Oryctolagus cuniculus: one gene and its partners. The main gene of each other region encodes a partner of the protein of the gene in region 3 in a complex. Links are inferred from orthologs where the notes say so. Each region holds a gene or a part of one and is shown on either strand. Other genes may lie near its edges.

Evidence for each region.
Region 1: SNRPD2 (region 3) and CWC15 share a complex: the UniProt entries of both Homo sapiens proteins name them as parts of the minor spliceosome. The link is inferred for Oryctolagus cuniculus from reciprocal best matches to the Homo sapiens genes SNRPD2 and CWC15.
Region 2: SNRPD2 (region 3) and SNRPD1 share a complex: the UniProt entries of both Homo sapiens proteins name them as parts of the SMN-Sm complex. The link is inferred for Oryctolagus cuniculus from reciprocal best matches to the Homo sapiens genes SNRPD2 and SNRPD1.
Region 4: SNRPD2 (region 3) and GEMIN4 share a complex: the UniProt entries of both Homo sapiens proteins name them as parts of the SMN-Sm complex. The link is inferred for Oryctolagus cuniculus from reciprocal best matches to the Homo sapiens genes SNRPD2 and GEMIN4.
Region 5: SNRPD2 (region 3) and BUD13 share a complex: the UniProt entries of both Homo sapiens proteins name them as parts of the minor spliceosome. The link is inferred for Oryctolagus cuniculus from reciprocal best matches to the Homo sapiens genes SNRPD2 and BUD13.

Annotation. Positions count from the first base shown.
Region 1 is NC_091432.1:86,190,714-86,194,735, reverse strand, and holds the end of CWC15 (spliceosome-associated protein CWC15 homolog), read left to right. Parts: intron 1-2,716; coding exon 2,717-2,846; 3' UTR 2,847-2,890; downstream 2,891-4,022. UniProt on the Homo sapiens protein: Involved in pre-mRNA splicing as component of the spliceosome. Component of the PRP19-CDC5L complex that forms an integral part of the spliceosome and is required for activating pre-mRNA splicing.
Region 2 is NC_091441.1:56,024,481-56,028,669, forward strand, and holds part of SNRPD1 (small nuclear ribonucleoprotein Sm D1), read right to left. Parts: intron 4,155-4,189; coding exon 4,078-4,154; intron 1,425-4,077; coding exon 1,233-1,424; intron 1-1,232. UniProt on the Homo sapiens protein: Plays a role in pre-mRNA splicing as a core component of the spliceosomal U1, U2, U4 and U5 small nuclear ribonucleoproteins (snRNPs), the building blocks of the spliceosome.
Region 3 is NC_091449.1:11,274,700-11,280,669, reverse strand, and holds the start of SNRPD2 (small nuclear ribonucleoprotein Sm D2), read right to left. Parts: upstream 3,843-5,970; 5' UTR 3,695-3,842; coding exon 3,693-3,694; exon of another isoform or gene 3,457-3,692; intron 2,486-3,456; coding exon 2,306-2,485; intron 1-2,305. Other genes in the region: QPCTL (glutaminyl-peptide cyclotransferase-like protein), read left to right, coding at 4,427-4,621, 5,004-5,147. UniProt on the Homo sapiens protein: Plays a role in pre-mRNA splicing as a core component of the spliceosomal U1, U2, U4 and U5 small nuclear ribonucleoproteins (snRNPs), the building blocks of the spliceosome.
Region 4 is NC_091448.1:46,447,958-46,452,408, reverse strand, and holds the end of GEMIN4 (gem-associated protein 4), read right to left. Parts: coding exon 1,317-4,451; 3' UTR 1,133-1,316; downstream 1-1,132. UniProt on the Homo sapiens protein: The SMN complex catalyzes the assembly of small nuclear ribonucleoproteins (snRNPs), the building blocks of the spliceosome, and thereby plays an important role in the splicing of cellular pre-mRNAs.
Region 5 is NC_091432.1:108,718,317-108,723,657, forward strand, and holds part of BUD13 (BUD13 homolog), read right to left. Parts: intron 2,492-5,341; coding exon 1,529-2,491; intron 398-1,528; coding exon 183-397; intron 1-182. UniProt on the Homo sapiens protein: Involved in pre-mRNA splicing as component of the activated spliceosome. As a component of the minor spliceosome, involved in the splicing of U12-type introns in pre-mRNAs.

The DNA.
Region 1 (4,022 bases), on a different chromosome or scaffold from region 3:
GAGCAGTTCTCAGCCTGCTATCATAACTCTTTAGTGTACAGTGTGTTTGGAGGGCTGAGGTAGAGAGTTAAAGGAGAAGAGACTATAAACAAAAAGTACTATCTATGGTATTTTAGATGATATGCAGAAAAATAAAGTTTTATAGGAAGTGCTGAGTGAAGGAAGCTTAGTGATCAAGGCTCTTGGAGGCTTAACTTTTTTTTTTTTTTTTTTTTTTTTTTTGACAGGCAGAGTGGACAGTGAGAGAGAGAGACAAAGAGAAAGGTCTTCCTTTTGCCATTGGTTCACCCTCCAATGGCCGCCGCAGCCGGCGCACTGCGGCCAGCGCATCATGCTGATCCGATGGCAGGAGCCAGGTGCTTTTCCTGGTCTCCCAGGTGGGTGCAGGGCCCAAACACTTGGGCCATCCTCCGCTGCACTCCCGGGCCATAGCAGAGAGCTGGCCTGGAAGAGGGGCAACCGGGACAGAATCCGGCACCCCGACCGGGACTAGAACCCGGTGTGCCAGCGTGGCAGGTGGAGGATTAGCCTAGTGAGCCACGGCGCCGGCCTGGAGGCTTAACTTTTAAACTATATCCATTATTTCTCACCATCTCCATTGCTGCGTCTTCCATAGTGATGCAGTGCCCCTAATTGTTCTCCTGCACACTCGCCACCCTCTTCACTCCCAGATTTTTCTTGACACAGAAGCGTGATCCTTTTAAACTGAAGTTTACAGCAACAGTCTCCTCTACTAAACCTCCCATGGCTTCTTGACTCATTTGCAGTAAAAACTTGAGTCCTTACAGTGGTCTCTAAAGCTGTAAAAATCTCCCTCCATGCAGAGGCAGCAGCATAGTCAAGGAAGGATTTGCTGACAAGGTGACATTTTTATCAGAGACTGGAGTCTGAGCTATTTGACCCAAACAATTGTGAAAGGATAGAGATAGTGAAGAATGTAGACTAAGGTTGGGGTTAGGGGAGGTGGCAAACTTAGGACACAGTAAGTTTGGCAGGATACGTGCATCTCTGAGGAAATGTTAAGGAGGTAACTTAATATGATTCCAGTCCAAGCTGGGGTAATAAATTTCAGAGTTGTCTGCTTATAGGAGTTCTGACACTGCGTAAGATCACCTCAAGAAGGCCGGCGCCGCGGCTCAGTAGGCTAATCCTCCACCTTCTAGTCCCGGTCGGGGCACCGGATTCTGTCCCGGTTGCCCCTTTTCCAGGCCAGCTCTCTGCTGTGGCCAGGGAGTGCAGTGGAGGATGGCCCAAGTGCTTGGGCCCTGCACCCCATGGGAGACCAGGAGAAGCACCTGGCTCCTGCCATCGGATCAGCGTGGTGCGCCGGCCGCGGCGGCCATTGGAGGGTGAACCAACGGCAAAGGAAGACCTTTCTGTCTGTCTCTCTCTCTCACTGTCCACTCTGCCTGTCAAAAATAAAAAAAAATAAAAAAATAAAATAAAAAAAAAAGATCACCTCAAGAATGAGTATAGCTAGAGAGGAGTCCTAGGACTGAGCATGGTGTTGTATTCAGAGGTTGAGTCGATGATTAGCTATCACTGCCTGAAACAGTAAATGAATTTTGAATGGAAGAAAACTAGACAGAGAAGGAACAGCCAGTGAAACAGAGAACTAAGAGATTGGTGTGGCAAGAGGAGAGGCATGATCATTTAGGGCAAATATTGGTGTCAGGACACGTAAATGAGTGCTACCATTTAGTGGCGTGGAATGATAATTTTGATGTTGGGGAGGAGGGACAAAGAGTTGGGAAGAGAGTGGACATAGAAAAAAATGTATATTGATTTTACTGATTATATATAAAGGTAAGGATAAACAGTTTCTTTTCCTTTTTGGATGCAGATGGAATTGTTTGTAGATGGAAACATGTCTTATATTCTAGTCATGTTGATCTGTTTACACTTTTATGTTTCTGTGTATTGTATCAATGATGACTTCACTAATGCTATATTTCAAAAATGCCCACATTCTTTTCTTATTTCTTCTGTGCCGTTTCTCATGGCATACATACATCAACACACGCAACCACGTTTGAATAGGCTTGTATTTTACACTCGTATCATTTGTTTGAGCTTATATCTTATATGCTGGGTCATGTTATGCAATCTTATCTTATTTTCTCTAACATCTATTTTATAGTCCACCCACGGGTGTTTTTTTTAATACTTACGCAGTACAAAATCCACCCAGAAGTATGCAAACAGAGTTCTACCTTGAGCTCTTTAAGTGCTATCTTTCTGTGGTTTATGTAGATGTGAGTCAATATAAGAACCTTAGTTATTCTACCTGATAGTTCCTGTTCCTTTTGCCCCACAATGTTACTGCTATAGTATGATTACTAAATTAACTAATAAAGAAGATTATATAATATCCTCAAAATGTCATAATCTAAACTATAGTAAATTGATCAGTTATTCTCATCTAGTGACATCTATATTAATGAGGATTATCCTGTATATTCTGTATATTTCTGCTTTATAACTCAGTTTCTTTTACTGGGGAAACAGCAAACTTTACATTCTCTAAGTAAGAATTGTCTTTCCTGCTAAAATAAAGCACGATTATTAAGGATTACGTTAATCTTCTGGGTATAATTGCTGCATCAAATGATGTGCATGTCGAGCATATTTCTGTATAAAGACTAAGCTTTGCAGTTCGCGTGGTGCCTTCCTGATACAAACGTTATAGGGTGTTCTATGTTTTTTCCCTGTTTAGGTGGGATGATGATGTTGTCTTCAAGAACTGTGCAAAAGGTGTAGATGATCAAAAGAAAGACAAAAGATTTGTAAATGATACACTGCGATCTGAATTTCACAAGAAGTTTATGGAGAAATATATTAAGTAGTACAGTTTTATGTGCTTAATTAAAGACTCAAATGTTAAGGATCATCTTGGCTTTGGTTAGTTTTTTCTTTTTATCCACCCCCACTTTCCTGTCATCTAAATCATTTGTAGACTTCCCTAATTTTAAATCCCAAAATACCTTTTCCTTTATTCATACCTTATTTTATAATGGACATGGGAATAGTTTGAACCCAGTCTCCATTATCAGTGTTTCCAATCATGTTTTCTTTTTAATTGAGAAAAGGAACTTTGCTTGTAATAAATATTTTTAATCTAAATAGCTAAATTTGTGTTCCAAATTTTTGTTGTAATTTATGCAGCTTATAAAATGTTGCATACTTTCTTTTCAAAAGAAAACTTATGTGCTTTGTGTTTCTTTGTGCGTTTAATTCCCCCCCCCACTTCTCTCATTGATTTAAGATCAATTAATGTATAATATTTTATCTGTGCATTTTTTAAGAGTGTGAAGAAAGATTAAAGGAATTCCATGTTGGACCTCCTGTTGGTATGGAAGAGTATTGTCCATCAGTAAATGGTGCAGCCTTCTGCAGGCACTCCATGATCAGAGACAGAAGCTCTGTAAGCGTTTCTAGGATGCACATGATGCTCACTTGTTTCTCCTGGTATTCAGCTGCCATGTTTCTCTTGAAAGTTATTAGAGTTTTCACACCGACGTGCATTAGATAAAAAGCCTATGGCATTCCAAATCCAAAAATAAGTAAAGGAAAACCTAGTTGGAAATAGGATTTTATTTGTTGTCCTGGAAGGCATGTCTTCCAGGTGAGAGGTGAGAGGGACACAACCGAGCTCTACTAAAAGCCAGAACTCCGGGAAATGAAGTTTCTGTAAGCTCAGCTGCAACTTCTCCTATTTGAGCTTGATAGGTTCAGGAAGAATCAGAAAAAAGCTAGTTTCCATGATTTCTTTCTTCCTATCCATGTGGTTTTCTTTCTTTTTTTGTTGGAAGGCAGAGTTACAGAGAGGCACAGAGAAAAGTCTTTCATCCGCTGGTTCATTCCCCAAATGGCCACAACAGCTAGAGCTGTGCCAATCCGGAGCCAGGAGCTTCCTCTGGGTCTCCAACTTGGGTACAGGGGCCCAAGCACTTGAATCATCTTCTGCTGCTTTCCCAGGCCATAGAGAGCTGGATCAGAAGTGGAGCAGCTTGGACTTGAAC
Region 2 (4,189 bases), on a different chromosome or scaffold from region 3:
AAAAACGAGAGGAAAAAAGAAATCAGCATCCGTAAGGTCCAACCATTAAAGAAGGGCAAGCAAAAGGGAGGATGGCCAGCGCCATGGCTCAATAGGCTAATCCTTTGCCTGCGGCACCGGCACACCGGGTTCTAGTCCCAGTCAGGGCGCCATATTCTATCCCGGTTGCTCCTCTTCCAGTCCAGCTCTCTGCTGTGGCCCGGGAAGGCAGTGGAGAATGGCCCAAGTGTTTGGGCCCTGCTGCACCCTCATGGGAGACCAGGAGAAGCACCCGGCTCCTGGCTTCGGATCAGCGCAGCGTGCCAGCCATAGCAGCCATTTGGGGGGTGAACCAACGGAAGGAAGACCTTTCTCTCTCTCTCACTGTCTAACTCTGCCTGTCAAATAAAAACAAAACAAACAAACAAACAAAAATCTCTGGAGCTTTTTAAGGGGAAAAATAAAAGGGCAAGCAAAAGGGAAGAAATTACCAAAGTTAAACAATAAGTTTCTTGGCTATAAAGAGCAAGAATATCCACACTGAATGGTCTGCCTGGCCGGCGCCGCGCTCACTAGGCTAATCCTCCACCTGCGGTGCCAGCACCCCAGGTTCTAGTCCCGGTCAGGGCGCCGATTTCTGTCCCGGTTGCTCCTCTTCCAGGCCAGCCCAATGCTATGGCCCGGGAGTGCAGTGGAGGATGGCCCAAGTGCTTGGGCCCTGCACCTGCATGGGAGACCAGGAGGAAGCACCTGGCTCCTGACTTTGGATTGGCACTGTGCACCGGCTGCAGCACATCGGCCGTAGCGGCCATTTGGGGGGTGAACCAACGGAAGGAAGACCTTTCTCTCTCTCTCTCTTTCTCTCACTAACTCTGCCGGGGGGGGGGGGGGGGGGGGAGTCTGTCTACTACCCAGAGCAACAAAATGGAAGGGGAGAAAAGGAGAAAAGATCGGAGGTGATGGCAAGAGAACCCTATGCCAAATCTTTAAGGAATTTCATAATATCAGGAATAGAGTCAATCTGTAAATCTTCTAAAGTGGCAAGAATGGGAACCAGGTCATGTACTAGAAAACAGGAAATAAAAATACCAATCTTTTTTACAGTAATATCAGGAGCTACAATAAACAGATGCACACATGACAAGAAAATTCTAAAAAACAACAAAACCTCCTGTGCTGTTGCCAAATATTTGTATTCTGAATAGAGTATAAGTACACCATTCACAAAAGCATATATAATCCCTCGAACTTACCAGCTTCCCTTTTCTTAGATTTCACCTTGGGTTCAACATCCACAAGTAGTGTATCCAGAGGTAAACTGTCCGGTAGAATAAAATAGCGAATGTTATTCCCTCGAATACTCAGTGTTTCCAGCTGTACAGGTTCTCTGTTCTTCAGGGTCATCTTCACGGCTTTAAGATGCGTATTCATGCTGACATCTACACCTGGAAGGGAAAAAGCAGGACAATTACTAGCGCGAAAAGGAAGGCAACCAATTAATCTATGAAGCCATGGTAAATACTATATTACAGATGAGAACCATTTGCTACAAAGGAAGTTTCCATAACACAAATTAGCACATATGCAATGGGTAAATGGAGGAGGAATGTCAGCCTAAGTCTGTATTCATTCCTTCCTAGAGGTTTTGCCAGTTACATTTGCAGAAGTGAATGAAGAAAGCCTGGTGGAAACCTGCCTGTTACACATGCTTTATGCCCACCAACCCAAGGATCCTCCTCCTATCTTAGGTTTGGCCAAGTATTTATGGCAAGATTCTTTAAAAAAAAAAAAAAAAAAAAGTGTCATATATTGTCCCCATAACTTCATTATATTGCATTCCACCATGTTATCCTCACTTTTAAAAAAAAATGTAAATTTATTTGTTTGAAAGGCACAGCAACAGAGACAGAGAGATTCTCCACCTGCAGTTTGATTCCCCAAACACCCAAAACAGCAGGGCAGGGCCAGGCCAAAGCTGGGGACCTGGAATTTCTAGGTCTCCCATGTGGGCAGCAGGTACTCAAACACTTGACGTATCATCTGCTGCCTCCCAGAATAAGCATCAGTAGGAAGCTAGATTGGACTAGGATTTGAATCAGTCCCAAGAGGTAGTTTAACCCACTGTGCCACAAAGTCTGCCCTACTATTCTCACTTTTCTTTTTTTAAAGATTTATTTATTTTACTTAAAGTCAGAGTTACACAGAGAGGAGAGGCAGAGAGAGAGAGAGAGAGCGCGCGCGAGCGAGCGCGGGTGAGAGAGAAATCTTCCTGTCGCTCCCCCTCTTCGTGGAGGAACGACACTAAACCCTGCCTAGGCTTCATATCCGAGTCACGGCACCATTATGTCGCTCCCCCTCTTCGTGGAGGAACGACACAAGACCCTGCGCTGTTCTTTCGTCTGCTCGGCCCTCCCCGGGTTTGCTGCTGGTTCTTCCCGGGTTGGCTACTATCCCTTCCACCTCCGTGGAAGGGCAGTTCCCCCTGGCCACATTCCCCACTTCCGCAGGGGAGCGGCACACCGCCGGCCGGCTCTTCTCGGGGGCTGCACAGGTGTTCCTTCAGCTAGATGTTCCCCTTAGATGTTCCCCATAGATGTTCCTGGTGCATGTTGTCTCTCTCCTCCTTTATAGTCCTTCCACCAATCCCAACTCTGCTACCCACACGCCGAGTACGCTGCTCTCCTCCAATCAGGAGCAGGTCCCACAGTTTATTGGTTGAACTGGAGGCAGCTGAGTAGAAGCTGTTTCCCTTCTCAGCGCCATATTGTGGGAAAGCAGATGCATAGAATAAGTCTTAATTCCAGTAACTTAGTCTAGTCCGAGTTGCTCCCAGTTGCTCCCCACACTTCCATCCGATGGTTCACTCCCCAATTGGCCGCAATGGCCAGAGCTGCGCCAATCCAAAGCCAGGAGCCAGGAGCCTCCTCGGGGTCTCCCATGCGGGTGCAGGGGCCCAAGGACTTGGGCCATCTTCTACTGCATCCCAGGTCACAGCAGAGAGCTGGACAGGAAGTGGAGCAGCCAGGTCTCGAACGGGCGCCCATATGGGATGCTGGCGCTTCAGGCCAGGCGTGTTAACCTGCTGCGCCACAGCGCCAGCCCCCTTACTTTTGTTTTCAAAGTCTTATATTTACTGTAGCATTTATTAGTAGGAATTTAGAGTGCATTTTTAACTAACCTTTTAAAAACAACTATTATTTGAGAAGCAAAGAAAGATAGAGCTCCCATCTGCTGATTCACTCCCCAAATGCCCACAATGGCTGCAGCTGAAGCTAAAGCCAAAGGCAGGAGTTGGGAACTCAGCCCAGGTCTTCCATGTGAATGACAGGAACCCAATTACTTGAGCTAGCATTGTGGCCTGCCAGGGTCTGCATTAGCTGGAAGCTGAAGTCATGAGCCAGAGCTAGGTACTGAAATCAGGGAAGGCAGTGGAGGAAGACCCAAGTGCTCAGGTCCCCGCACCCATGTGGGAAATCTGGAAGAAGTTCCCGGCCCTTGGGTTTGGCCTGGCCCAGCCCTGGCTGTTGTGGCCATTTGGGGAATGAACCAGCAGATGGAGGATCTGTCTGTCTCTGTAACTTTCTTTCAAATAAATAAAGTAAATCTTTTTTAAAAATTACATATAAACTTAGAATTTAAATATTTCAGAGTGGGGCACAAATAAAGACAGTTTTCTCTCAATTCTTTTGAAATTTTACAACTTCCTGGAATATCTACTATAAGCAAAGAACTGAAGTAGACATTAAATATGAAATACACAATATTATTAAGACAATGAGTTAGACACATAATATAGCCCTGCTTCTTGCCTTCAAGAATAGGAACCACAAATTCTAATAAAAAAAAAAAGTTTCAAATGCATTTTGGAACAATTAACATTCAAGGAAAAGAAATACACAAGCAAAGGCATAAAAGCAAGAAAATAGGATAAACTAGGTAATTTGGTTTGGTTGTAGAGCAAGTATGTAAAGTAAAAAGTCAATTAAATAATTCATACCAAAAAATAAGGATCTGTACTATAATTAAAAGTAAAATGAATTCTGGTTTTCATGTTTAAGAGATGAAGAATAAGTGTTATAAAGTCATCAATCTCCATACCTGTGATTGTTCCATGGACCTGTGTTCCATTCTTCAATTCAATGGTTACAGTTTCATGACTCAATTTCATCAAAAATCTATAAAAATAATTAGAACACAATCAATGGTTTTT
Region 3 (5,970 bases):
CCTCACAGGGACCACTGGGCCGGGAGCAGAACTAGGACTGAACCCAACACAGCAGGCAGGCGTCCAGAGTGGGCCCGGAAGTGCCCTTCCTCCGGGTCTCCCACGCGGTGCAGGGCCCAAGCACTTGGGCCATCCTCCACTGCACTCCCGGGCCACAGCAGAGAGCGGGCCTGGAAGAGGGGCAGCCGGGACTTGAACCGGTGCCTGTATGGATGCAGGCGTCGCAGGTGGAGGCTTAGCCCACTACAACACAGCAGCGGTCCAGGGATTTTTTTTTTTTTTTTTTTTTTTTTTGAAGGATGCAGTTATTTATTTGAAAGGCAGAGTTAGAGAGAGAGAGATGGAGAGAAAGATTGTTCCTTCCACACACTGGCTTACTCTCCGAATGGCTGTAACGGCCAGGCTGGGCCTGGGCAAAGCTGGGAGCTTTCTCTGGGCCCCCCAGCTGAGTGGCAGGGGCCCATGTGCTCCGCCAGCTTCTGCTGCTCTCCCCGGCACGTCAGCAGGGAGCTGCGTCAGAAATGGAGTGGCTGGGACTTGAACCAGCGCCCATATGGGACGCAGGTGTTGTAGGCAGCAGTTTAACCCGCAGTACACAGATGCCAGTCCTGGGATTAAAAGAAAAAAAAAAAAAAGGATAAGAAGGGGCTGGCACTGTGGATCAGCGGGTTAAAGCCATAGCCTGCAGCACCGGCATCCTATATGGTTGCCTGTTCGAGTCCCAGGTGCTCCACTTCGGCTCCAACTCCTGCTGATGCACCCAGAAAAGCAGAAGATGGCCGAATCCTTGGGTCTCTGCACCCACATGGGAGACCCGGAAGTGGCTGCAGTTCCCGGCTCTGGCCTGGCCCAGCCTCAGCCCATGCGGCCGCTTGGGGACTGCACCAGCGATGGAAGATCTCACTCTCACTCCCTCTCTGTAATTGTGCCTTTCAAAAAAAAAAAAAGGCTGGCGCCGTGGCTCACTAGGCTAATCCTCCGCCTAGCGGCGCCGGCACACCGGGTTCTAGTCCCGGTCGGGGCGCCGGATTCTGTCCCGGTTGCCCCTCTTCCAGGCCAGCTCTCTGCTGTGGCCAGGGAGTGCAGTGGAGGATGGCCCAGGTGCTTGGGCCCTGCACCCCATGGGAGATCAGGAAAAGCACCTGGCTCCTGGCATCGGATCAGCAGCGCGCCGACCGCGGCGGCCATTGGAGGGTGAACCAACGGCAAAAGGAAGACCTTTCTCTCTGTCTCTCTCTCTCACTGTCCACTCTGCCTGTCAAAAAAAAAAAAAAAAAAAAAAAAAAGGCTAAGAAGCCCCCATCTTCCAACACATGTGATGTTTCAGTCACACCACACTCCTGCGGATCTGTGACCACCAGGGGGGCGGTCCCTGGAGGGAGGGCGCAGGAAGGAGATCGCCCGTCATCAGGTGCCTGTTTGAATGAACCCGCCCCACCTGCACACACTGCGCATTCAGTCGCGGGTGGGAGGGGCTGAGGGGGCAGGCAACAGCCCGCTGGCCGCAGTGTTCTCAGGCCAGGACCAGCAGAACCGGGCGGCAGGAGAGCGCCTGGAAGGTTCTCCTGCAGGACCGAGCCCTGCCAGGGGCACCTCTGCAAGGCTGTGGGCACCACAAAGGACGGCCAGGGGCACGGTGAGTGCGTGAGTGAGACACCACAGAACACACGGGGGCGGCGCTGTGGTTGGTGGGCTGACGCCCTGGCCTGCAGCGCCAGCATCCCACAAGGGTGCCGGTTCGAGGCCCGGCTGCTCCTCTTCGATCCAGCTCTCTGCTGTGGCCTGGGAAAGCAAAAGATGGCCCAAGTGCTTGGGCCCCTGCATCCACGTGGTAGACCAGGAGAAGCTCCTGGCTCCTGGTCAGCTCAGCTCAGTGAACCAGCGGATGGAAGACCTCTCTGTGTCTCTATCCATAACTCTACCTCTCAAAATAAATAAAATATTAAAAGCCTGCCTGCGTGCTACCCCCGGCTCTGGCCCCACTGTGGACATCCGGGGAGTGCCCAGCAGGTGGGAGCTCTCTCCGTCTCTCCGCTTCTCTTTCAATGAATGAACCAAAAGGTGTCCTGTGGCCAGGCACTTCATGCGTGTTAAGTCACCGCATCTCTGTATCCACCGCGACGACTGCCTGCCACTGTGCGGACAAGATAACGGCACGCGCTGAGGGTCGCCTGGCCGCTCAGAGGGACAGCACAGCAGGGGCCGGCTGGCGCCCACCGCAGGGCAGGGCGGGAGGCGCGGCCTCGGAGGAGCCCCGCCCGCAGGCCCCTCCCTCCCGGGCCAGGCCCCGCCCCCGGCCGCGCACCTGTCGAAGGCCTTCACGCGGCCCAGCAGCTTCTTGTTGTTGCGGCAGTTGATGAGCACCTGCGTGTTGTTCTTGACCGACTGCGTGAGCACGGAGAGCGGGCCCGTGTTGAACTCCTCCTCCTCCCGCTTCTGCAGCTCCTCGGGGGTCATCTCGCTCTTGGGCTTGTTGAGGAGGCTCCTGACGGGGGAGGAGGGACCCGCGGGTGAGGGGAGGAGCCGGGGCCGCCCCCCAGCCCTGCCGGCCTGGTCTCTAGGCATCAGCACCTGGAAGCCACCAGCCATCCCCAACCCCGCCCGCCCCGGCTCAGCTCCCGCTAGGCCCCCTCCCCAGCCTGCTGCACCCAGGGCACACCACTCCCTGGGGGGTAAGTCCGCCCTTCTCATTGGCCGGGCAGAAGCGGACGTCCACTCCTCTTTCGTCTCCCACGGCAACTCGGACAGCAGCCACTGTCAGGACTTGCTCTACGGCGCCCCCACCTTCCTCCCCCTGGCGTCTGACGCCCACTGCCCCACAATCGGACGCTTGTCCCTCGGCATCCACAGGGGGCTGGTCCCAGGATCCGCGTTGCCCGGGTCCCGGAAGCCTCAGCGGCTCGGATCCCTTAGGTGGGATGGCGGGGACGCACACACACACACCCTGCGCACACCTCCCGCTCGCTAAGTCATCTCCAGGTTACAGCGTAACGGGACCTGACTGTGCTGCGACCCCGTGGAGCCCGGGCAACAGTCACAGGAGAAAGGCCTGCCCGGCCACTCGGGGCTGGCCAGCCTCGGTGTTCAGAACAGCACTCGGGCGCCGGCTTAAAAACCAGCCTGCCGTAGTCCCGCTCGGCAGGGCCGAATCAATGCGTCTGCCGGCCGTACCCCTCCCCCCGGCCGGCTGCAGAATCCGACCTCCGTGCCAGGGCTACCTGCACCCAGGGGCAGCCTGGGGGCCGTGCGCAAGCCTAACTCACGGCAGCCTCTTCGGAACCCTCCCAGGGCCCCCGGCTGAGCCTGCAGCCCCAGCCGCGGCGTCGTTGCGAATCAGGCCGAGCAGCCACGGCCCCCGGCCCCAGCTCACGTTCCAAGCCCCTCGCCCCCAATCGCTATGCCTAAAAGCCCGCGCCCGCTCCCCGGCTTCTGTAACTCGAGAAGCCGCTTCTTAACCTTCACTCCAGCGAGCTGATGACGCGGAGGAGCCGCTGCCCGTTCTCTCACAGAGCTGGCGGCCCTCGCGGACTCAGGGTCCGCCAGAGGCCCCGGGGGCCGGTCCCACGCTCATTACAGAAAATTCGCCCGAGAGCTCTGCTCCGCCCCCGGCGCTGCCGCCCCCTTCCGCCGCTAATCGGCCGCATTCGCACCCACAACCTCACGCCCGCCGCTTAAGCCCAGCCCGGCCTCACATGGTGCCGGCCCCGCGTTCGGGTCACTCTCACTCCAACCTCCTCCGCGTTGCTTCTGCCTCTGCGGATGGAGCGCGAGAGGGGCGGGACTTCCGCTTCCGGCGGGCCACTTCCGTGGGCGCCTGCGCAAACCCACCCGGCGGGCTGGGGCGTGGCTTGTTGCCATAGCGACCCCCGCCGGCTGCGCAGCGAGGGGGCCGAAGCCGCGAGCGGCAGTTCGAGGCCTTTAAGGACCACAGCGGGCAGGTGTTCATCGGGATGGAGAGACCAAGACAGAGAGTCCGAGTCGCGCCGCTTCGTGGTAGAGGCGGGACAGGCTGCAGGAGGGAAACGGCCAGAGGTTTCTAAATGCCCGCCAGCCCCGTCTCCGGGGGCGCGGCCTCCACGAAGCCAATCCGGTCCCGGCTTCGGGGCCTGACGCCTCGCTGGATCTTCCCGTCCCGCGGAACCAATCCCTTTCCGCGGCCGGGCGCTGCCCATTGGCTTTACCCGCTCCGCCGGGGCGGGCCGCACGCCTTCGCGTCCCCTCTGGGGGTTGTGCAACCCCTCTGGGAGCCAATCGCGACACCCCGGGCCTCCGGGGAGGCTTGTCCTCGGGAGCTGCACCCGGCTCGCCGGGCCGGGGTGGTGCCCGGCGCTCTTGTCGCTCATTGGCTTTGTGATTCCATGGGGTGGGACTTGGCTGGGCCTGAACTCCATCCGCGGTCCCTGGCCGGTTTCAGGGCAAAGCTGCCATGCGTCCCGGGGGCCGCGGGCGGCCCCGGCCCCGGCTCGGGGAGCGCGGCCTGATGGAGCCGAGCTCGCCGCTCAAGCGCCGCCTGCTCCCGCGGGCGCAGCTGCTGCCCGTGCTGCTGCTGGCGCTGGCCGTGGGCTCGGCCCTCTACACGCTGTGGGGCAGCTGGCACCGCAGGACCGAGGAGCTGCCGCGGGTGAGGCTGGGCGCGGCGCGGGCACTGGAGGGCCCTCTCTCCCCGCTTCCTCTTTCCGAGTTTCGGTTTGACGTGGCGCTACCTGGGGCCCTGGCCGCAGGTGCCACCGGCTGCCTCCCCGGAGCGCAAGCCCCCTCCCAACGCGCCCCCTGGAAAGAAAGGCTCCGGAGTCGTCAGGATGAGGGTTTTGGGTTCCACGCCCGAAAGGCAACTCTTGGAAGCCTCCCTTCCCCTCGCTGGGCTTCGGTTTCCATGTCACGATCGAGGGGTAGGCTAAACCGGGTGGGCTTGGAGAGACTTTGATCCTGGAAGTCTCCCATGCCGCGGAGGCACCCGGGCTTTTGGGGGGAGGGAGCAGTGCGCTCATTCTTCTCTTCTTTAGACGCCGCTGACCGGAAGTCTCCCGGAGGCCCGGCTGCGGAGGGTGGTGGGGCAGCTGGACCTGCAGCGCCTCTGGGGCACTTTCCTGCGACCGCTGCTTGTTGTGCGAGCCCCGGGCACTCCGGGCAGTCTCCAAGTCAGAAAGGTACGAGGCCCCGTCTCCTCTCCCAGCGCTGACCCGCCCCCACCCCCACACACACCTAGCCCAGCGGGGCATGGGAAGCGGGGGTCCTGTCCAAGGGTCCCGGAGCGGCGGAGGGGCAGGAGCCAGGCACTGACTCGAGTCTCACACAGGTGTTTCCCAAGCAGCAAACAGCCCCGTGAGGGGTCAGTAAGATCTTCAATGTGCAGGTGGGGAGGCCGGGGCCCAGGGAGCTTGCAGCTGGTCAGGAGGCTGGGGCCCAGGGAGCTTGCAGCTGGTCAGTGGGAGACCGGGGCTGGAACCCAAGCTTACGTTAGCTCCAGAGCTGGCGGCTGGGACTGGCTGTACTTCTCCTAGAAAGCATCAGGGCTCATTTGCATACTGCTGCCTCCTGACCCACGTGAGACAGGTTCATTCTATTTTATTTGAAGATTTGTTTATTCGAGAGACAGAGTTACAGAGAGAGAGAGGTCTTCCATCTGCTGGTTCATTCCCCATATGGCTGCAACGGCCAGAGCTGGACCGATCTGAAGCCAGGAGCCAGGAGCTTCTTCCAGGGTCTCCCACGCAGGTGCAGGGGCCCAAGCACTTGGGCCATCTTCCACCGCTTTCCCAAGCCATTAGCAGGGAGTTGGATCGGAAGTGGAGCAGCTGGGGCTTGAACCGGTGCCCGTATGTGATGCTGGCACCAGAGGCAGAGGCTTACCCTGCTCTGCCACAGCGGCGGCCCCTGGACTAGCGTCCTAACTTCTCCCGCCCTGAGTTTGCTCGTCTGCCATTCCTAGGCAGTCTGCATCCCACAAGGGTTGACACACACGGTGAGAGA
Region 4 (4,451 bases), on a different chromosome or scaffold from region 3:
AATTCTGACTGGTCGTCTTTAATGGGTGCCATTTACAAAATGTAAGATGCTACAATTTTTTATACTGTTTTATTTACTGTATCTACCTGTGTAAGTCATCCCTGTGGTGATTAAATTGCACTAATGTTTCCCAACTTACTCTCGCTTGCGAAATCCTTCGTTACCGATGTCCTGGGAGCAGCAATCCTTTGACCCAGTTTGATTGGCTGCACTGTGCTGTGTGCTGACGGCAGCAGGTGCGCCAGTGCTGAGCTGCAGGAGGACCCAGCCCACGTTACCCCAGCATGTTCCTGTGATTCAACACCCCGCGAATACAGTCTCCCGGAGTCCACGCTGAGTGGTCACCTGTAACTTTAGGCCCTTCTCTTCATGGGTGAGTCCCACTGGAGCTGAGGGTGGAAGCCTAATTGTTGGTCACAGAGCAGGGGCTGGGGAACTAACCTGAGAAATGCCAATTTTGAATGAAGGTATGGACAGGCAGGTGATAGGACATGACCTTTTCCCTCTGTCTCCGGAAATAAACATCTCCTCAGCCAGCTGTTGCCTGTCCTATAATAATACCCTGGACACCTTCAATTCTCATATTTACGCTCCTGGACACACTATTCTCTGCTCCCACTCATTCATCAAAACCGTGACAACCCCACCCCAGCCAGAAGATAATCACCCCTGTCCTTTAAACACATCTCTGTTTTCCTGACCTAGGTTGAACACAGCCCCCTCTGGGTCCACCGAGGGAAGGCTCCAGGGCAGGCATCCACCCAGAAGGCACCCATTTCTGTGAGGCCATTAATCTGCCCCCTAACACTTCAAAGTGTTTATTGGTCCAGTCCTCTCCTTTTACAATGGTGCTGGCCTCTTGGGTGCATAAATCACACGGCCAGAGGCAGAGCCAGGGTAGACCAGACTTTTTTCCCAGGGGCTGCTCTGAGATACTTGGTGAAATTTACTAATGAAACGTCTCTTGCAGAGGGTCTCAGTGCGCAGAGCGCACACACACCCTGCAGTATTTTTCCCCACCTGGTTTCACCTGTGGGCCTGTTTGCCCAGTTCCTCCCAGCGGGACTTCATCTCGGAGTCTCTGCCTACAGCCGTGCATTCAATCCCTGCTGAGACAGACTCAGGCAAGATGAAACTTTAACAGAATTTTATTATAGTTTGTTACAAATAAGTATGAAACTATTTCCTTTACACCATTATTGCCATATACTTTTTAATCCTGTGTACAATTTCACGGAACTGCGAAGCCTTGCTTCTTGGCCGCAGCCCCTAGAGAACCCCTGGGGCGGGCCCCAGCTCCTTCCTGCCTGCAAACGTCAGAAGCTGTTGATCTTCTGCAGCAGGGTCTGGCGCCGCTCCTCCGGGCTGATGTTCTCGGCGATGGACTTTAAGAAGCGCTGCTCATTCACCTTCTGTAACAGGGAGCTGACGGAAGGGTTGGTCTTGCTCAGGGTCTCATAGCAGGTGAGGATTTCCAAGGCCAGCACATACAGCGGTTCACAGACCTCTTGGTAGAGCATGGCCATGATGTGCAGAACATGACAGAACACCTGGGTATAAACAAACAGGGTTTCCTGGGTCAGGTCCTGCTCTTGGCCTTGGGCGCAAGGGCCAACTGACTGTATCAGCCTAACGGAGTCCAGGAGGTTGGTCACACTGCTGCACAGGAGTTTGACCACGTGGCTCCAGCCTTCCATAGGAAGCCAATTACGACAACTCTGGCTGCAGAGAAACTGGAAAGCTCTCAGGAAGAGCACAGAGAGTTGCAGCTCCTGGGCAAAAGGCTTCAGGTTGAGCAGGGGAACAAACTGAATGTACTCCAGGCTATAGGGGACATGGAGGAGCTGTTTCTCCAACAGCTTCCTGGTCAGCTGGTGAAGTCGCTGCCACTCCTGGGGGCTGCACCAAGGCATGACTTGCACCAGGGCCACCAGAAAGCCCTTGCTGAACAACCGGACCTCCTCAGGATTGCCCACGTCCACCACCAAGAGGGAGAGCATCTGCTCCGAGACGCTGCTGGACACGTAGCTGCACTCCATCCAGGCCAGAAGCCCTGTGCCCGGCCCATACCCTGGGTGGGCCTGGGAGGTCCACTCAGACTCAGAAAGCTTACAGATCTCAAAGAGTGTGGTGGGCACCTCGCACTTGAAGTGGCCCTCAAAGAAGTGCTTGAGTCTCAGGCCCACTGTCCAGTCCAGCTGCTCCAGCTTCCGGTGGAGCCAGGACAGGGACTTGCCCCAGGTGTCTGGGGAGAAGGTGTCCGCGTTGGCCGACACAGTGTCACAGAGCAGCACCAGGAGACGGATCACCAGGTCTTTCCCATCCAGGGAGAGGCAGCGCCTCTCTTTGGGCAGCTGCCAGTACTTGCTGAAGCTGTCCAGAAGCTGGCACAAGCTGAAGAGGAGGGGGAACGGGGAGCAGGTCTGGAGCCAGTAGTCCTCCAAGCACGCGCTGGCCTCGAGGGTCTGCAGGCAGATCTTCAGGCTGAGGTCCACCTCGTCCATGTCCAGCATCAGGAAGGGCAGCACAAACTCCTTCAGCACCTCGTCCGGCTCAAGAAGGGCGGCGACTGGGATCCCCGGGGGCCTCACAGGCCTCATCAGGCAGCTCAGCAGCTCCAGAAACTGCTTCTCCTCTCTGGGTGTTGAGAACTTGGTCCAGACAGTTTCTCGGAGGCACGACACCACGAAAGTGCTGGGTGAACGCGGCCCTTCCTCTTCCGTGAACCTGAGGGCGGGGAAGGCGGTGAGAATCTGAGCCAGGAATCTGTGGGTGCCCAGGTTGATCACGGCCATGCTGCACATCTTCTTCACTGTGACCTCCGGGTACAGCACCACCAGGCGGGCCACGGAAGCCACAGCCCTGGCCAAGCCCTGCTCCGAGGTGCCCTGGGTGAGCTGGTTAAAAGTCGTATTGAGGTCTTCCTGGAAACCCTCCAGGTAAGGCAAGAGCTTTTCAGAGAGGCCCTTGCGCCCCCAGGAATGCAGCACGCCCGACAGGACTTTGTTTTTATCTGGCAGTGAGAGGTCTGCGTAACATTCCAGGATCAAGTGGATCACCTGTTTCATCCGAGATTCAGGGATGATTCTGTTGCTCGCGGTGACTTCTACCACCGTTTCTAGCAGCCTTAAAATCAAGCCTGGCTCCCGGAAGAGAGCCCTGTTGTTGGCCAGGCAGGCTACCCACTCGTCTGAGAAGGCCCACTTCTTCTCCGCAGCGAAGACGTAGCACATCTCCATGTGGCGCTCCATCTTCTGCTCAATGATGGCCATGGCGATGGAGGCCATGATGGCCTCAGAGCCCTTGTCCTTTGGCACCCTGCTTGTCTTCCTCAGGAAGCCCTGGACACACTCCGCCAGCTCGGACACCATCCGCCTCTCCTCCGGGGACAGGCTGGTGGCGTCCAGGTAGAGCTTCAGGTTCTGGCTGAAGGACGTCAGACTGTCACACAGCCGGTAGCTGTCGTAATTCGTCCCCTGGCTGCTGTTGAGCATGGCCTGCAGCTCCTCCCCCCACTCCCGCAGCAGGCTGTGCATGAACTCAAACCCCAGGAAAATGGTCTCACTCGGCAGCTTGGCCAGGGAGGTCAGGCTGACATCCCGCTCCGCCTCCTTGACCTTCTCTACCAACGCCTGTTGGTGGTACGGGTTCTGCGTGTCCGAATTCCACACAGAGATCACCGTGGCCAGTTTGTCCAGGTACATGGTCGCAGACACTTCCTGGGGGTCGTCCTCCATCAGCGCAAACACGGTCAGCATGTCAGCCAGGTTGGCCAGCGCACAGCACTTCATCCCCAGGCCCAGGATCCTGTTCTGGATTTGCTTCAACCCATTGAGCAGCATGGCCAGCAAGGGCATGGTGGGACACACATCTGGGTCCGACTTAAACCTCTTTGGAGGGTGGGAGAACTCGTCTGCAGGGTGCAAGTACTTATGGGCCATGGTCCTAAACTGGGAGAGCAGGGGGTCCTGCTGAGGGCCCTTGTGCTTCATCATCTCCCACCAGACGTCGAGGAAGAAGGCCACATCCTTGGAAGAAGTGTCAATGGCCATGTGCTCCAGGAAGCGCTCCAGTTCTGCACGGCAGACGGTGGTGGGCAGGGCCATCAGGAGCTGGATGAAGAGTCCAGATGCTTCCAGGGACTTGAGCAGCTCAAAGAGAACCGTGTGGTTGATGGTAGGAATCATGTTGCCTACGGAGAAGAATATGTCTTCCTGCCACCGAGCTTCCGTGTCAGAGGGGGTGACGGGACAGGGCTGAAGAACCTTGGCCCAGATGATGATCAGAGCTTTCTTCTTCCACGCAAAGGGCTGGGAGTGTGCTGTGGCCGAGGAGATCTCCCTCAAGGCCTCCACGATGGGCCGCCCAACGTGTTCCCAGTCCGACTTGGTCAATTCTGCCAACGCTTTGGGGCGGAATAGCTGCTCGGCCAGCAAGAAGCCCCCGTGCAG
Region 5 (5,341 bases), on a different chromosome or scaffold from region 3:
AGCCCATCTGGGTGGGGTTACAGCCAGTCCCACCCTGAGAGCAAAGGAAAGTGCCCCAGTGGTACTTCTAAGCCAGGATTCCCTGCACTGCCATAGCTACTTCCTCCGCTGGCTCGGTTTCCTGGGACTCGTGCAAAGCCAGAAGACAGGAGTCACGGGAAGGGAAGGACGGGGCTCCCTACCCGCTTTCCGGGAGGCTGACTTCTCCTGGGTGGAGACAGATCCGAATCAGGAGACCTGGTCCCCCGTTTCCTCCTTGGTGGAGAGAGGTCAGAATCAGAGCTTCGGTGCTGAGGTCTATTCCGTGGAGGAGACAGATCTGAATCAGAATCCTGAGGCCTCGGATTTTTACGCCGTGGAGGAGAAAGATCGGAATCAGAGGCTTTCCGGCGGTCACCTGGGTAGGAAAGAGTTCCTATGTGTTTCTAAGTCTCCTAGGTGAGGAACTTAAATGAAATTTCCTTTGGCTGGAGGAAGAGCCTAGAAATTAAAGAAAAGACTAATCCCTTTGTAAGAATCTGTAAGAAAAATTTACTCAGCTGGTATAGAACATTGACCTAAACACAAGTACAGAAGCTTTGGGAGAAGAGCCAAGTCAGAGATACTCTCAAAACCAACAGGCAGCAGATGGGGTTCTACTCCCAAATGACTAGTGACTGTGGCCATGACCGCTGTGTCAAACTTCAACACCTCCATCTACTCACAGAACAGGCTAAACAACTTGGGAGTTAGCTCTCCATGGTGCGGCCAAAGTTGGAAACAGCTACAGTATATTCTGATATCTGATATATATCACGTTAAGAGAGAAGGTAAGATTACACACACCGTAATACTCATTCTGCATAGCCAGGACTCAACTGCAACAAAAATACATTCAAAAAAAAAAAAAAAAAAAAAAAGACTAAAAGAAGGCACACATTCAGCCTAGTGGTTCAGATGCCCCGATTCCATAAGAGTATCCGGGTTCAATATCTGGCTCCAGTTCCTGACTCCAGCTTCTTATTAAAGCAGACCCCAGGAGGCAGCAGTCACAGCTCAAGTAACTGGGTTCTTGCCAGCCATATGGGAGAACTGGATTGAGTTCTCAGCTCCCAACTTTAGCCCAGGCTGCTGCAGGCATTTGAGGAGTGATTAGCAGATGGGAGCTCTCTGTCTGTCTCATTGGACCTCTACCTCTCAAATAAATTAATTTTTTAAAAGACTAAATGGACATTGGTTACAACATTATCAGTGATGGCCTCTGAATGACAAAATTTTGTGTCATTTTTTCTGCCTTTTTGTACACTTCTATGCATTATAAAACTTCTGCCACAAACATGTAGTACTTTTATACATGGTGAGAAGTAAATAAAATAATTCATAAAAATGTCCTCCTTGCCATCATAATGTTTTAACTCTCCTGAGCCCAGACTCCCACTTTTCAAAACTTTTCCAAAGAAATTCCATTCTCACATCTAATAGAGCAAGTAGAAGTGCAATAGAAAACTGCCAGGAAGGAAGTCCCTCCCGCGGGCGGTCACGTGCTCACCTTTAGACTCAAGCTGCTTCTTATCTCCAAAATGGGATTTTGCCTGTCTTTTTCGTGGCGGAGAGAGATCCGAGTCACACTCATACTTGCTCTTCTTCGGGAGTAATGAATGAGAGGTCTGTGGCTCATTCCAAGGTGGAGAAGTCTTGCTAGATGCTCTTTCTGGGGCTTTCTTACTTTTGGTTTTGGACACTGAGTGAGTGACATCAGGTGCCGAATTGGGGGAACTGTGTCGGGCCCCCCTGAGCTGCCCTGTGTCAGAGGTCCCGGGAATTTTCCTAGGTTGGGAAGCGTCAGGGGAGCTGTCGTGGGCCCTTCTGGAGGAAGAAATATCTGAGGAATTATGAGACGTCCTCCTAGCAGGAGACGGATCTGGTGAATCATGACGGGTTCTCCTAGGAAACACAGCTGAAGAACTGTGATGAGGCTTCCCGGGAGGAGAAGGATCCGGGGTGTCGTGACGGACCCTCCTGGGAGGAGAAGGATCCGGGGTGTCGTGACGGACCCTCCTAGGGGGAGAAGGATCCGGGGTGTCGTGACGGACCCTCCTGGGGGGAGAAGGATCCGGGGTGTCGTGACGGACCCTCCTGGGAGGGGAAGGATCCGGGGTGTCGTGACGGACCCTCCTGGGGGGAGAAGGATCCGGGGTGTCGTGACGGACCCTCCTGGGAGAAGGATCCGGGGTGTCGTGACGGACCCTCCTGGGAGGAGAAGGATCCGGGGTGTCATGACGGACCCTCCTGGGAGGGGAAGGATCCGGGGTGTCGTGACGGACCCTCCTGGGAGGGGAAGGATCCGGGGTGTCATGACGGACCCTCCTGGGAGAAGATGGATCCAAGGTGTCGTCATGGATTCTCCTGGGAGGAGAAGAATCCGGAGTGTCATGACGGAGCCGTCTGGGAGGAGAAGGATCCGGGGTGTCGTGACGGAAATGCCCTTGTGAAGGTAGGTCTTCATCGTGACCTAAGCACAAATAGCAAAGAATCAGATTTCCATAGTTGCTCTGTCCACCCCTTCATTTAAAGTTTCAAAAGATGTCCCGGCAGCATACACCTTAGAACTACTCAGAAAGCCCAAAAAGTCTGCACAGCTCTCTTCCTTGGAGGCAGCAAACCAGCACTAATGAATCTAGAGAATAACCCCTCTTACTGGTCTACAAGTCATAAATTTGAAAGCATTTTAAAGACATTTTTCATATTATACCCTCTAAGGTAAGCAGGGCAGGTCCCTTGTTTTATAGACATGAAAAGGGAGGCTCTGTGATACTGAGTGATTTCTTACTTAAGGTCACAGCTACTAAGATAAAGACTGGCTAGAACCAAACTCTTCTAACCTTTAATCCAGTTTCTTTCCAAAACCTCATTTAGGCAGAGTTCCCCCTCAGTGGCTCCTACTGATACTTAGCCTAGACTATTTATAGCTGTAATCAATCTTCTTTCAAAAGTCAAATGGACGAGGCCGGCGCTGTGGCACAGCGGGTTAATCCTCCACCTGCAGCATCAGCATCTCATATGGGCCCCGGTTCTAGTCCTGGCTGCTCTTCTTCCCATCCAGCTCTCTGCTGTGGCCTGGGATGGCAGTTGAGGATGGCCCAAGTCCTTGGGCCCCTGCACCCACATGGGAGGCCCAGAGGAAGCTCCTGGCTTTGGATTGGTGCAGTTCTGGCCATTGCGGCTATCTGGGAGTGAACCAGCGGATGGAAGACCCCTCTTTCTGTCTCTACCTCTCTCTGTAACTCTATCTTTCAAATAAATAAAATAAATCTTAAAAAAAAAAAAAAAAGTCAAATGGACAGAACCTATGCACATTAAAATAAAATGCTTGTTAAACATTTAATCCATGTCACTGTGCTTCTTGTAAGAGAAAATCACTTACTGATAATCTACTATGTGCCAATGCTCTATACAGATTGCCTTATTTAATTTTCACAAACGTAGGCAGTAAAGACTATCCTCATGAGGAAGCTGATACCCAGGAAGATCAAGTCATCTGCCCAAGTCACACTGCTGGTAAGTAGTGAAGGAGTAAATAAAAATCCAGATTGGACCCCAAAGTCCATGTGAAATCTTTAAAAATATGTAGCTGAGGAAAAAATTCACATTTGAGGCCATCAATTTCAGTGGCACAATAGAATGAAATGTTTATAGCAACTGCAACATTCCCCAACTCCAGTTCCTCCTCTCCCTCTGGTTCTTGTCATTGAGCTATATGGGCCAAAACCACAAAGCTGGCTAGGAACACGTGGATATTGTTAAGTGCATGAAGTAAACCGAGGCACCCCTCTGCTCTAAGAACAGACCTATGGCACTGGAATCCACCCCACAGAGAACAGCACTGATGTCTGCAGGAGGCTTGACAATACATCTAATCCATGAGACTGATACATTCCAAGAGATGTATACAAAGGGGGAAAAATCAGAACAGTAAGTTATTTCCAGTAAATAAAGGACTGTGTGTGTGCGTGTGTGTGTGTGTGAGAGAGAGAGAGAGAGAGAGAGAGAGAGATTTCCTAGACCTTTAGACATGGAGACCAGAAGATCTTCTCTGAAAAGATTATACAAAAGATTGGAAACACACCTAGAGGATAAGGTAGAAAATAATGGATAAGACTAAAAAGCATTCTGATAAAAATATCCCAAGACTAAAGTTTTCATTTTTTTTTTTTAAAGATTTACTTATTTATTTGAAAGTCAGAGTTACAGAGAGGGAAAGGCAGAGGCAGAGAGAGAGAGAGAGAGGTCTTTAGGTCTTCCATCTGCTGGTTCACTCCCCAAATGGCTATAATGGCCAGAGCTGAGCTGATCCGAAGCGAGGAGCCAGGAGTTTCTTCCTGGTCTCCCATGCAGATGCAGGGGCCCAAGGACTTGGGCCATCTCTTACTGCTTTCCTAGGCCATAGCAGAGAACTGGATCAGAAACAGAGCAGCTGGGACTTGAATCAGCGCCCATATAGGATGCTGGTACTGCAGGCATGGGCTTTAAGCACTATGCCACAGCAGTGGCCCCTAAAGTTTTCATTCATAATATGTACTGAAAAGTAACCAAGGCAACAGTGATACAATATATACATATATATATATATCTCAGTGATATAATTATATTATATTATATATATATCAGTGATATATATAACAGTGATATACAATCTATAGCTGTCACTTTCACTACACATTTTTTCAAATCAGAACTGTAAGATAATTAACATAATGGCAGAAAGTATAACACAGATGACAAATCTTGTCTAGAAACTAATTTATCCTCAACGTGGGAAAAGGAACAAGCATCCAGAATAAATTGGAATTAAACAGCTATCAAGAAGCAGGGTCTGGGGCCGGTGCTGTGGCATAGTGGGTTAAGCCTCCACCTATGATGCCACCATCGCATATGGGTGCTGGTTTGAGTCATGGCTGCTCCACTTCTGATCCAGCTTTCTGCTATGGCCTGCGAGAGCAGAAGATGGCCCAAGTGCTTGGGCCCCTACACCCATGTGGAAGACCTGGAAGAAGCTCTTATCTCCTGGCTTCAGATAGGCCTAGCTCCAGCCTATTGAACCAACAGATGGAAGACCTCTCTCTCCTTCTCTCTGCTCTGCCTCTCTGTAACTTTGCCTTTCGAGTAAATAAATAAACCTTTAAAAATTTAAATAAATAGAAGTATTAAAAAAAAAAAAAGCAGGATCCTTGTTTATGAAATACACATGGGCAAAACCAAGCATGGCCCCAGTGGCAACACAGAGCAGGATATACTCACTGGACTCACAGGTACAGCTATCTAGAAAGTTCTTGGAAAAGGAAGAACAACTGCAAAGCCTCTA